Linked DNA regions of Oryctolagus cuniculus. The protein of the gene in region 1 interacts with the protein of each later gene in a biochemical or structural test. Links are inferred from orthologs where the notes say so. Each region holds a gene or a part of one and is shown in the gene's direction. Other genes may lie near its edges. The genes, in order: LRP1, APOE and DAB1.

Region 1 (3,716 bases):
GATGCCAGCCTCCTGGCAGAGGTGTGCTGTGAGCTGGGTTTATAGGAAGAATGAGTAGCATTGGGACGCACGGCCTGCAGGAGAAGGTTCTAGGCCCACACAAAGGGGAAGCTAAAGCCGTGCCCCAGCCCAGTGCTGGAGACTGTGCGTAGGGCCCTGAGCCCAGAGCGCTGGGCTGGGTGTGGGAAAGTCCTGGTGATAAGGCGGTGAGGTCGGGAGGGCGGGGCTCCTGCGGGTTCTCAGCTGGTGGTGCCTGGAAGTGGTGTTTGGGGAAGATTAAGCTGGCGGCAGCAGGGGAGCAGGAGAAACCAAGGCAGTTAGACCAGTTAGGAGGCTTTGGGGTAATCCCAGGGTGAGCAGCAGGGTCTGGGCTGAGAGTCAGAGGCGTTTCACGAGCCCCTGTTGACTGATTTATGGGCCCCTGGGAACCTCCGCCTTTGATGTGGGCACGGCAGGGAGGCAACGTTGAGGCTGCGGAACTTCGCAGAACTTCTCAGAGCCTTGAATGTGTCCGTGCACACCAAGAATTCTTCAGGCACGGACTCCAGCATTCAAATATCAGGAACATTAGACTATTAGAAATAAGCACTTCTAGTAAGCAACGTTAGGAGTAAATATGCAAGCACGGCCTGTAGCATTCGGGTTTTTCCCTCACTGGGGCCCCTTTGGGCGTTCATTTGGGGCCAACCTGCATGAGAGGATAAAGGCAAGGGAGGGCTAGGGCTACGCGGGGAATGGAGGGCTGGCAGCAAGCAAGGTGCTGGGAAGGTTTCTGGGTGTTGGAGAGAGGGTGTGGCCTGGACCAGTCAGAGGGAGGACAAAGAGGAAGCTAAGGTCAGGCGGAGTGCCAAGCTGAAAATCTAGATTGGAGACGTCCCATCCTGATTGTCTGAGCCTCCCCCAGGGCCTCTGTGGGGAGCCGCCCGCCTTGTGTTGTAAGGGCCAAGTGAGGGGAGAGAAAGCCGCGTCTCTGCTGCCCCCTCATGTCCGTGAGAGGTCCTGCAGGCACTCGCCCTCTAGCCAGGAGGACTTTCTTCAGCAGCGCCAGGCTCTGGGTCTCAGACACCTTTGGGTCAGGGGCGATGGCTGGGGGGAAGATACCAAAGAGGAAGCAGAGAAGAGCGGTGTGAAGGTAGCAAGAGCCAGGCTTCAAGGAGCGTCGCGAGGCCCGTGCCTGAGGGGTCATTGCCTTTCAGGCGTGGGCTCCTTTCTCCTGTACTCCGTGCATGAGGGAATTCGGGGAATCCCCTTGGATCCCAATGACAAGTCAGACGCCCTGGTCCCTGTGTCAGGGACCTCGCTGGCTGTTGGCATCGACTTCCATGCTGGTGAGACATTGGGTGACGGGGGATGGCGGGACGTGACCCAGGAGCTTGGGGACCTGCACTGGCCCCCAGCACCTGACACCTGCTGCATGATTCTGGCCCCTGGTCTTGCCCCCGCCACACCGGGTATCCTCACGTGGGCACCTCCACTTGCAGAGAACGACACCATTTACTGGGTGGACATGGGCCTGAGCACCATCAGCCGGGCCAAGCGCGACCAGACCTGGCGAGAGGACGTGGTGACCAACGGCATTGGCCGTGTGGAGGGCATCGCAGTGGACTGGATCGCAGGTGGGTGCTGGGGCGCCTCAGAGGGGATGGGAGAGGAAGTCGGCAGGGACAGATGGACAGCTGCAGGGGTCCCTGGGGCTGTGTGCGTGCCCCCCACCAACCTCCCTGCACCCCACTCCCTCCGCAGGCAACATCTACTGGACAGACCAGGGCTTTGACGTCATCGAGGTGGCCCGGCTCAATGGCTCTTTCCGCTACGTGGTCATCTCCCAGGGTCTGGACAAGCCCCGGGCCATCACTGTGCACCCGGAGAAGGGGTGAGCAGCTGGACGGGCTGGCTCGGGGCCAGCCCTGGCACTTTTGTGATCTGGGTTCTCACGCCCGTCCCCTTCGTCTCCACACACAGGTACCTGTTCTGGACTGAGTGGGGCCAGTATCCGCGCATCGAGCGCTCGCGACTGGATGGCACCGAGCGGGTGGTGCTGGTTAACGTCAGCATCAGCTGGCCCAACGGCATCTCCGTGGACTATCAGGTTTGGGCGTGACCATGGAGCCGGTGGGGAGAGCCCCGGCCAGTGAGAGAGCAGAGGGCAGGGGCCCAGCTCCCACCCAGAGCAGGACTCCTCTACCCCAGAGGCGACGTGCAGAGCAGAGGGACCCGGGGGACGGGCAGGGGTGAGTGGGGAGAGCAGGGGGTGGGGGTCCCGGAGTGAGGTGGCATCTGTGCCCGCAGGATGGGAAGCTGTACTGGTGCGACGCCCGCACCGACAAGATCGAGCGCATCGACCTGGAGACGGGCGACAGCCGCGAGGTGGTCCTGTCCAGCAACAACATGGACATGTTTTCCGTGTCTGTGTTTGAGGACTTCATCTATTGGAGTGACCGGTGAGGGCTGCTCTTCCGTGTGCCGTCCTCACCCCGTCCCTGCCCTGCGCGCGCCCCGCTCACGCCTCTCCCTGCCCCCAGGACTCACGCCAACGGCTCCATCAAGCGCGGGAGCAAGGACAACGCCACCGACTCCGTGCCCCTGCGAACCGGCATCGGCGTCCAGCTCAAAGACATCAAGGTCTTCAACCGCGACCGGCAGAAAGGTGTGAGGCTGGCGCTCTGGGCCAGGGCCAGAGCGACAGGGGCTGGGAGAGAAGGTGGAGCCTGGAGGGGTGCCCTCCAAAGGCCTGAGAGACCAGGAATGGGGGGAGGGGAGAGGCTGGCGACAAGGGCTGATCTGGGAGTTGAGGGATGAGGGCCTGGAGGGTTGACTGAGCTGGGGATGCTGAGGCAGAGCAGGCGCCAAGGTCAGGGTCCAGGTGACAGGAGCACCAGAGAGCCCCTCCCCCAGGCAGACCCTGCCCCCTGTGACCTCCCCCTCCCCCCAGGCACCAACGTGTGCGCCGTGGCCAATGGCGGGTGCCAGCAGCTTTGCCTGTACCGGGGTGGGGGCCAGCGAGCCTGCGCCTGCGCCCACGGGATGCTGGCGGAAGACGGCGCGTCCTGCCGGGAGTACGCCGGCTACCTGCTCTACTCGGAGCGCACTATCCTCAAGAGCATCCACCTGTCGGACGAGCGCAACCTCAATGCACCTGTGCAACCCTTCGAGGACCCCGAGCACATGAAGAATGTCATCGCCCTGGCCTTCGACTACCGGGCGGGCACCTCCCCGGGCACCCCCAATCGCATCTTCTTCAGTGACATCCACTTTGGGAACATCCAGCAGATCAATGACGATGGCTCGGGGAGGACCACCATCGTGGAGAGTGAGTGCCCGGGGGCCGGGGGGGCCGCCACAGACTCTCACAGCCCTCCCCTGCCCCACATCCGAATCCCACCTGCCGCACTGTCCCACAAAAGTGGCAGTCCAGCTGCGCTGAGCCCGCTGTCAGCTACATAAAAGTCTCCTTATTTGGAGTCGCTGTTGCCCAACCCCCCTCCTCCCTTGTCATCCCCTCCCCCATTCCTCCAGGGATGCCCAGAGTCAGGCCAAAGTCTGGAGCCCAACACTCACAGCTCCGGCTGCAGACACAAGCTGGGGTTCCACGCTGGCCCCTTAGGATCTCAGCAACTTGCACAGGCTTGCTTCCCTGGTCAAGCCTGGGTGTGCTGGGCTGTGTAGGGAGACGGGCTCCCCACCCCAGCTCCGGGCAGTCGAGCTCAGCACCAGGG
Region 2 (3,600 bases), on another chromosome or scaffold:
GAACTGGGCCCCCGGCCTCCGCAGATTTCCAGAAGAGGCGGGTCTGGAATTTTGGAGCCTCAAGCAGAGCTACTGGGACTGCTGCATCTGGGGCTGGAGCGACACAGTCCCGGTGCAGGGGTGCGGCCCCGCTCGCCTCGCAGGAGGCGCTGTCAGCACTTGGCCAACCCGCGCCCCGAGGCCTGGCGAGGAGGCTGCTGGGTGATGTCCCCGAGTTACCTGGGGAGGCCGCCTCCCCTGCGCCTTGAGAAACAGGGCCGACTGCCAGTGCCTGCTGCGGCTTTGCCCCCAACCCAGCCCTGGGCCTTGAGTCCCTGGGACAGCTGGGGGCAGGAGCCCATGGGAAGGTGACTGCTGGAGCGCGCTAGGCTGCCCAGGTGTGGGCCCACCGTGTGCAGGGCGCTGGCCTCGGCACGCGCCGTTCACTCCTGCATCACCAAACCTGCGGGGCGCATGCCGCTGCTTGCCTGGTTGTGCAGGCAAAGAACTGGCCGTTCAGAGAGGGGAGGTCATTTGTCCAAGGTCACACAGCTGGCAGCGCGCAGTGCCAGGATGCAAGCCCCAACAGTCCTGCAAACTGCAAGGAAGAGGACGTGTGGGTGACTCCTGGCGGGCGGGCCCACCACCTCTGCCAGCCAGGTGCTGCGATCTCAGTAAACAAGGGGGGGGGTCCCAGAGGCTCGCACCTGCACCGCCTGGGAGGGAATTGGAACAGAAACCCTGACCGTGGGACGCTGGCCTTCATCACGCTGCCCCCAGCCCTGCCTGGGCTCCTGCTGTGCCCTAACTTAAGCCGGGAGTCCAGACTCCACTCCGACTTCATTCAGGCCCTGGGGGGTGGGGGTCCTAAGCCCCATCCATTCCCAGAACCCAGAAGTTCCAGCCGGGCACAGGGAAGGCGTGCTGGAGCAGCAGCCGGCCCAGTCCCCGCCTGCACCCCAGTGGAGAGGACGTGGGACACCGAGGGAGGCGCCCCTCCCTTCCTAGGGGCTGGGGGCGGGGGTCACGGGGCCTCCAAGCCCCACCTCCTTCCTCGCCCTGCTGTGTGCGAGGGGGGAGAACAGCCCACCTCGTGACTGGGGGCTGGCCCAGCCCGCCCTGGCCCCGGGGAGGGGCGGGGCAGGGGGAGCCCTATAATTGGACCCGTCAGGGATCCCTGCCGCCCTGCTCTGCCCCAGCCGAGGTGCAGGCGAGGTTCCGCAGGAGGCGGTGAGCAGCACAGCGGGGGGCTGAGGGGCCTCCAGGGAAAGGGGGGGTCCAAGGGCAAGGGAGCGACTTGGGGACGGGCTGTGGGAGAGAACGTGGTGGCCTGTGCCTGCGTCGGGACAGAAGGACGGCCGAGCAGGGCTGAGGCTGGAAGCAGGGCTTGGACCTCAGGCAGGGACATCCCATCCTGGCTGGGGCTGGGGTGGGGCAGCAGCTGGAGCCACAGCGAGCCCTGGGGCGGTTGCTGCCACTTATTTGTCCTTCCCGGCACCCCATCTCCGCAACTGGGGTCTCGGGAAACAGGGACTACGTCCCAAGACCGACTTGTTAAAAACCGTGGTTCAATCAGCTCCTACATGGCAAGTAGGGCTTAGACGTGAGGTTGGAGCTTAGAATGTGACGGCGGGACGAGGAATGCGACATGGAACTCAAGAAGCCCAGCCTGGAGCCAGAAAGCTCGGGGGTGGGGGGGCTGGGGGAGTGGAATTCGACCCCTGGGAGAGGGAGATGGAATTCTGGCCCCGGAGCCGGCCGGAGGATGGGGAGACTGGAGCAGACAATGCGGGAGCTGTGCAGCCCCCCAGGGGCGGCTTGGTGAAATGATTGTGATCGGACTAAGGCTGTCACAGACAGGGGCCAGGGCGAGGCTTGGGGATCCTGGGCCCGGGCGCAGCCGGAGCTGGGCTCCGGGGCGGGGGGGAGGGGACCGTCCTCCTCCGCTGTTGATTGACAGTTTCTTCCTCCCAAGACTGACCAACCGCAGGCGGGAAGATGAAGGTGTGGTGGGCTGTGTTGGCGGCGGCGATCCTGGCAGGTATGGGGGCGGGGCTTTCTCGGGTTCCCCTGCTGCGCGGCCCCTGCCCGCACTCCAGCCCCCTGTCCTGGGGAGGAGGCGCGCCGAGCTGAGACCTCTGAGGCCTGCTGCGGTTCTGAGCCGCTGTTTCTCCCCCGGGCCTCGGCTTTCCCCACCCATAAAATGGGCGTTGAAGTTCCTAATGCACACAAGGCCCATCAGTGTTTGCCGACTGAGCGGAGACCCCACCCGCTTCTGCCCCCGCGGCCCGAACCCCGCACGGCCCCTGACCACTTTGCTCCCGCACAGGATGCCGGGCCGAGACGGAGCAGGAGGTGGAGGTGCCGGAGCAGGCCAGGTGGAAGGCCGGCCAGCCCTGGGAGCTGGCCCTGGGCCGCTTCTGGGATTACCTGCGCTGGGTACAGTCGCTGTCTGATCAGGTGCAGGAGGAGCTGCTCAGCTCGCAGGTCACCCAGGAACTGACGTGAGTGTCCCCGCCCTGACCAGGAGCCTCCTGGGGGGCGGCGGGGGGCGCCTCTGCACCCTCGGCCAGTCTAGATGCCTTTGCGTCCTTGGGGTCGGGGGCCCTGCTCCTGCGTCCTCTTCCCACTCCTGACTCCGGTTTGACCTCTCCGGCTGTCTCGCACCTTCCCAAGCCCCCTCCTCCTCGCCGGCTCCTCTGGGCCTCGCTTGGTCCTTGGGGCCCCTTGGTCGCTGCCAGCGTGCACCCAGCCCTGGCTCCCCAGCTCACGCCCGCCCTCCCGCCCCCTGGGCCCCGCAGGATGCTGATGGAAGAAACCATGAAGGAGGTGAAGGCCTACAAGTCGGAGCTGGAGGAGCAGCTGAGCCCCATGGCGCAGGAGACGCGGGCGCGCGTGTCCAAGGAGCTGCAGGCTGCGCAGGCGCGCCTGGAGGCCGACATGGAGGACGTCTGCAACCGCCTGGCGCAGTACCGCGGCGAGGCGCAGGCCATGCTGGGCCAGAGCACCGAGGAGCTGCGCGCGCGCTTCTCCTCGCACCTGCGCAAGCTGCGCAAGCGGCTGCTGCGCGACGCCGAGGACCTGCAGAAGCGCATGGCGGTGTACGGCGCCGGGGCCCGCGAAGGCGCCGAGCGCGGCGTGAGCGCCATCCGCGAGCGCCTCGGGCCGCTGTTGGAGCAGGGCCGCCTGCGGGCCGCCACCGTGAGCACCCTGGCCGGCCAGCCGCTGCGGGAGCGCGCGCAGGCCTGGGGCGAGCGGCTGCGCGGGCACCTGGAGGAGGTGGGCAGCCGCGCGCGCGACCGCCTGGACGAGGTGCGCGAGCAGGTGGAGGAGGTGCGGGTGAAGGTGGAGGAGCAGGCCGCGCAGATGCGCCTGCAGGCCGAGGCCTTCCAGGCCCGCCTCAAGAGCTGGTTCGAGCCGCTGGTGGAAGACATGCAGCGCCAGTGGGCCGGGCTGGTGGAGAAGCTGCAGGCCGCCATGCCCAGCAAGGCGCCCGCGGCGGCGCCCATCGAGAACCAGTGAGCGCCTCGCGGGCCGCCCCCGCCCCGCGCGCCCCGCCTCCCCGCCCCGGTGGACGCCCCCCCTTAATAAAATTCACCACCTCCACAGCAGCTGCTGGGT
Region 3 (3,766 bases), on another chromosome or scaffold:
CCAAAAGCTGTGTTTGTATGCTAAGATCATTCACTGAATATTAGCCTCACTATTGCCATTATTATGACTTATACCTCATGTCTCTCCTGAGAAACAAATATGACTAGCTCTGTTGGTGAAAGCACAGAAAAGTGCCCCTGTTGCACACTGTCAAGGAGAATGTAACATTGCACAGACTTTGTGTAGGGTAATTGGACAATACCTTTCAAAATTAAACTATCCACATTCTTTACCAATAATTTCATTGCAAAGTGTAATCCTATAGATTCATACAAGTGAAAAATGGATAATTTATGGCTTTTGAATTATAGCATGTGTATATTAAATATTATAGCATATATATGTAAAATATGTTATAGCATATATGTATTATATAGCACACATACACGTACGTGTGTGTATGTGTTTGATGCTTTGCTTCTCTCCTCCTCGTAGTCTAGCGTCTGCTAGGCTTGGCATCCCTGACCATTCTCCTTTGGTTGAGCTTAGCACAGTTCATATCCGTCTCCTCGCCCTGTGCCCACCTACACACCCCACAGCCTCTTTAGAATGGTACGCTTCACTCTGAACCGCTCACGTCAAGCTCTGTTGGATGACCAACTCCATACTTCACCCTTCTTTCATTTTCTTCCAGCATTGACGGTGACTGTTTTTCACTACAGCTGTTTCCTTGGCTTCTCTGGATGAGGATTCCTGCCTTGTGACCCTGGCAGTCTCGACAAAGCATCATCCAGTTCCTGCAGTCTAGACGCTGGACCTCCCTTCCCCAGCATCATCCCCATCCAGCTTGGACACATTGAAGGAGCCGTTTTCTAGTTGTAAGTAAATCACTTGACTTTTGCATGAAAACTGTTCAATTCATTTACTGCCCAGCTTCCTCAACTTTTGAGCATGATTCTGTGTCTCTCAATAGCTATTCCCATTTCTCTTTCTTTCTGGAACTCATTGCCTGCCCCATTGTTAATACTCTGAGGTTCATTATTTGTTTAATCACCGGTTTACTCAAAGAGGTTGTAGCCAGTGGAATCTGAGAACTGAAAGGCACTTGTCTTTGTTTTCCTGCAAGGTTCCATTCAGGGTTACTTGTCTCTGACTTAGATTGGAGACTAAATGGATTAGAATAAAACCAATTTATGGGAAAAAGGAAATGTTCACAGAAACAGCAATAGAGAGTCTTGCTATCTTGGCTGCATGAGATCTGCAGGCCTCACCAAGGAATTTAAAAAGTAATGTTTCTTATCATAAGTGACAGAAATATGCTGCTTTCTGCATCAATAGATATGAAGATTAAAGGGTCTGACCGTATTAAACAATTTTGCACAGCACCAGGCACTCTGGGCAGTGCTCTCTGCCTTATTACCCTTCATCTTGTGGCTATTTCAGGCCCAATTTAAGAATACAATGCAGTCTGGCTTTGCAAATTGACATCCTTTAATTTAAACTGTCTTGTGAGAGAATTAAGAAATTATGGAACAATTATTCGCCTTTAGCTGAAAGCTGGATGACATCCTGAGATTCCTGTATGTTAGCCATTTGAATTGATTAAGTCACATAATTGAATTACACCTTTGCCCCCATAATATCTTGTGGCAAATACGTTGGTGTTTCGTGTTGGGAAAATGCTTCCGTAAAAGTAGAGTAGGGGTCAGGGTGAGAGTTTGACTGGGTGTCAAAAAATCCTCAGAGCATTGTGGGCTGACACTTGGAGATGCTGTGTGGGAGGTGGATTAGCAGAGCAAATGTTGCATTTGGAGTAGCCCTGGAAGTTGGAAGATGAAAGCTACGTAGGATACAGAATACATCCTTTCCCTGTCTCCCTTTGCATCGCCCTTGAATATTCAGCTGATGCGTCTGCCACTCATTCTTAAAGCTTTTTTTTTGGCACCCCCACCCCCACTGCATGAACAAAACAACTGGGATGTGGTTCCTTTTGTCCTGCACAATCCCCACGTCCGTCTTCATAGCGGTCTCTATCACAGTGCTCCTTAGTCTCCCTGCCCAGGCAGGATGCTGAGCTGGAAAGCATGTCCTGCTCACCCAGGACAGTAGTGACACTCGGTAAATCTGTCGAATGAGGTTCTGTGTGAAATTCTCAAGGGCTTAGCCTCTAAACTGTTTGCTTTTGTGATGTGCACATGGAGGGAAGTAGAATCTGTGAATAATTTTGAAAGCATTATTTTCAGCATTTACATTACTCCCGTTTTTAGACATTTTCACCAAGGATGTATTAAACCACAACTCTTTCCATTTAATAAACGCCTAGTATACTAAGGTTCTACGCAAAGTTCATGAAAAAATGTGTTTGATAAAAGAAACTATGCATGAATTTCAAAAAACTTTTGCATTAAAGGGCAGACATGTTTTCATTTAATTTTTTTTCATGAAGGTTTGAAGTACTCTTACATACAAGAGCTGGGTTAGGTGCTGAGGAGAAAAGTAGCTAAAACGTATTTGCTGTTCTTGAGAGAAGAGCAATCCAGTGGGACGATTGCTGAGGGCTGTGCAGGAAAGAGCCTAGGTGAGTGCAGGGGCAGCTAGGAGGCAGCGGAGTGGGGCAGGGCCCTGAGAAGGGGCCGTGTACACTCTGTCTGGGTCCTCTCTGAAGTTGGCACTGCTGGTGTCTGCCCTGCTCCCGCGACCCCTCCCACATCATCCATTCTCGGACCCAGAAGAGAAGACAACTCTTAGAGGAATGTCCTGCCATCAGGCTGCACGTGTGCTTTCCGTGGAAAAACTCTCAAGGAGACAGTGGCGAAAGTACTGCTCCTCTACACCCCTCCTGAACCCATCACACTGCAGCATTCTGGGGCTTCATGTTCTTTGTTTATTCTGTATGGCGCAAGAATCTCTCTTTCTCCCTCTCCCTCTCCTTCCCTCTCACCCTCTCGCCCTCTCTCCCTCTCTCCCTCTCTCCCTCTCCTTCCCTCTCCCTTCTCTTTTTAAAAAATCTTTCACTTTTCCTTTATCAAAGCACACTCTCAGAGCTTTAAAGCCCAACCACAGCCATCCTCCTGAATATGTCTGTGTGGAAGGGATTAATCAAGTCTGCCAAACACTGAGCTCTAAAACCTTTAATATTTCTAAAAGGTTTAAAGCAAGCGTATTTATCACATGCATCATTGAGAATGAACTTTCTTTAAAAAAAAAAATAAATGCTCCTGTAAAATATTGTGGTGATGGGCACGGTGGGTGAAAGCCCGGTGCAGGGCCCCTGTTGTGATATTGGAATGGGGGTTCTGGTGAAATCTTCCCCTGACGTCAGCCACTAGCAGCTGCCCACCATCTCCCACACATCTGTTTATATGGATATTTATATTGTGGGATTCAAGAATCTCAGTGCTCTGAGTGAAAAGCAGGAGAAAGGAATTAATTGCTGTTGAGTGCCTGTTCCGTGTCAAGTGTAAGTCTGTATGCTTGGTTCTCACATTTTAAAATCTTCAAAACAATTTTATGTCTAGCCTGGTAACTGATTCAGAGACAAAGAAGCTGAGATTGAAAAGCGAATCAGTTTTCTCAAGATCACGTAAATATTCATTTGAAAGCCTGGTGTCCCATAAGCGTATCTGATTCTCTCATTCTGTTTATAAGGCAAATGCTTAGCGCAAGGTGAATACTTTTAAAAGGTGTTCCAAAGTTGTTATGACCAATAGCCTCACAGTTTCTGGGAATTCTTATTGAAAGATTGTTATTCTACAGACAGAGATAGAAAAGATCTGTAGTGCGAGTCTGGGGATCTGAGACGTGTGTTTTAGGTGTTGAATCCAGT

Evidence for each region.
Region 2: the proteins of LRP1 (region 1) and APOE form a complex in vitro, tested with the Homo sapiens proteins (2 studies listed by IntAct, with this or other methods). The link is inferred for Oryctolagus cuniculus from reciprocal best matches to the Homo sapiens genes LRP1 and APOE.
Region 3: the proteins of LRP1 (region 1) and DAB1 form a complex in vitro, tested with the Homo sapiens proteins (2 studies listed by BioGRID). The link is inferred for Oryctolagus cuniculus from reciprocal best matches to the Homo sapiens genes LRP1 and DAB1.

What each region holds. Positions count from the first base shown.
Region 1 is NC_091442.1:59,825,321-59,829,036, forward strand, and holds part of LRP1 (prolow-density lipoprotein receptor-related protein 1), read left to right. Parts: intron 1-1,196; coding exon 1,197-1,328; intron 1,329-1,481; coding exon 1,482-1,616; intron 1,617-1,743; coding exon 1,744-1,873; intron 1,874-1,962; coding exon 1,963-2,089; intron 2,090-2,289; coding exon 2,290-2,441; intron 2,442-2,522; coding exon 2,523-2,647; intron 2,648-2,932; coding exon 2,933-3,310; intron 3,311-3,716. UniProt on the Homo sapiens protein: Endocytic receptor involved in endocytosis and in phagocytosis of apoptotic cells. Required for early embryonic development. Involved in cellular lipid homeostasis.
Region 2 is NC_091449.1:11,764,264-11,767,863, reverse strand, and holds APOE (apolipoprotein E), read left to right. Parts: upstream 1-1,166; 5' UTR 1,167-1,209; intron 1,210-1,939; 5' UTR 1,940-1,977; coding exon 1,978-2,020; intron 2,021-2,308; coding exon 2,309-2,483; intron 2,484-2,780; coding exon 2,781-3,501; 3' UTR 3,502-3,590; downstream 3,591-3,600. UniProt on the Homo sapiens protein: APOE is an apolipoprotein, a protein associating with lipid particles, that mainly functions in lipoprotein-mediated lipid transport between organs via the plasma and interstitial fluids.
Region 3 is NC_091438.1:115,176,384-115,180,149, forward strand, and holds the start of DAB1 (disabled homolog 1), read left to right. Parts: upstream 1-754; 5' UTR 755-818; intron 819-3,766. UniProt on the Homo sapiens protein: Signaling adapter of the reelin-mediated signaling pathway, which regulates the migration and differentiation of postmitotic neurons during brain development.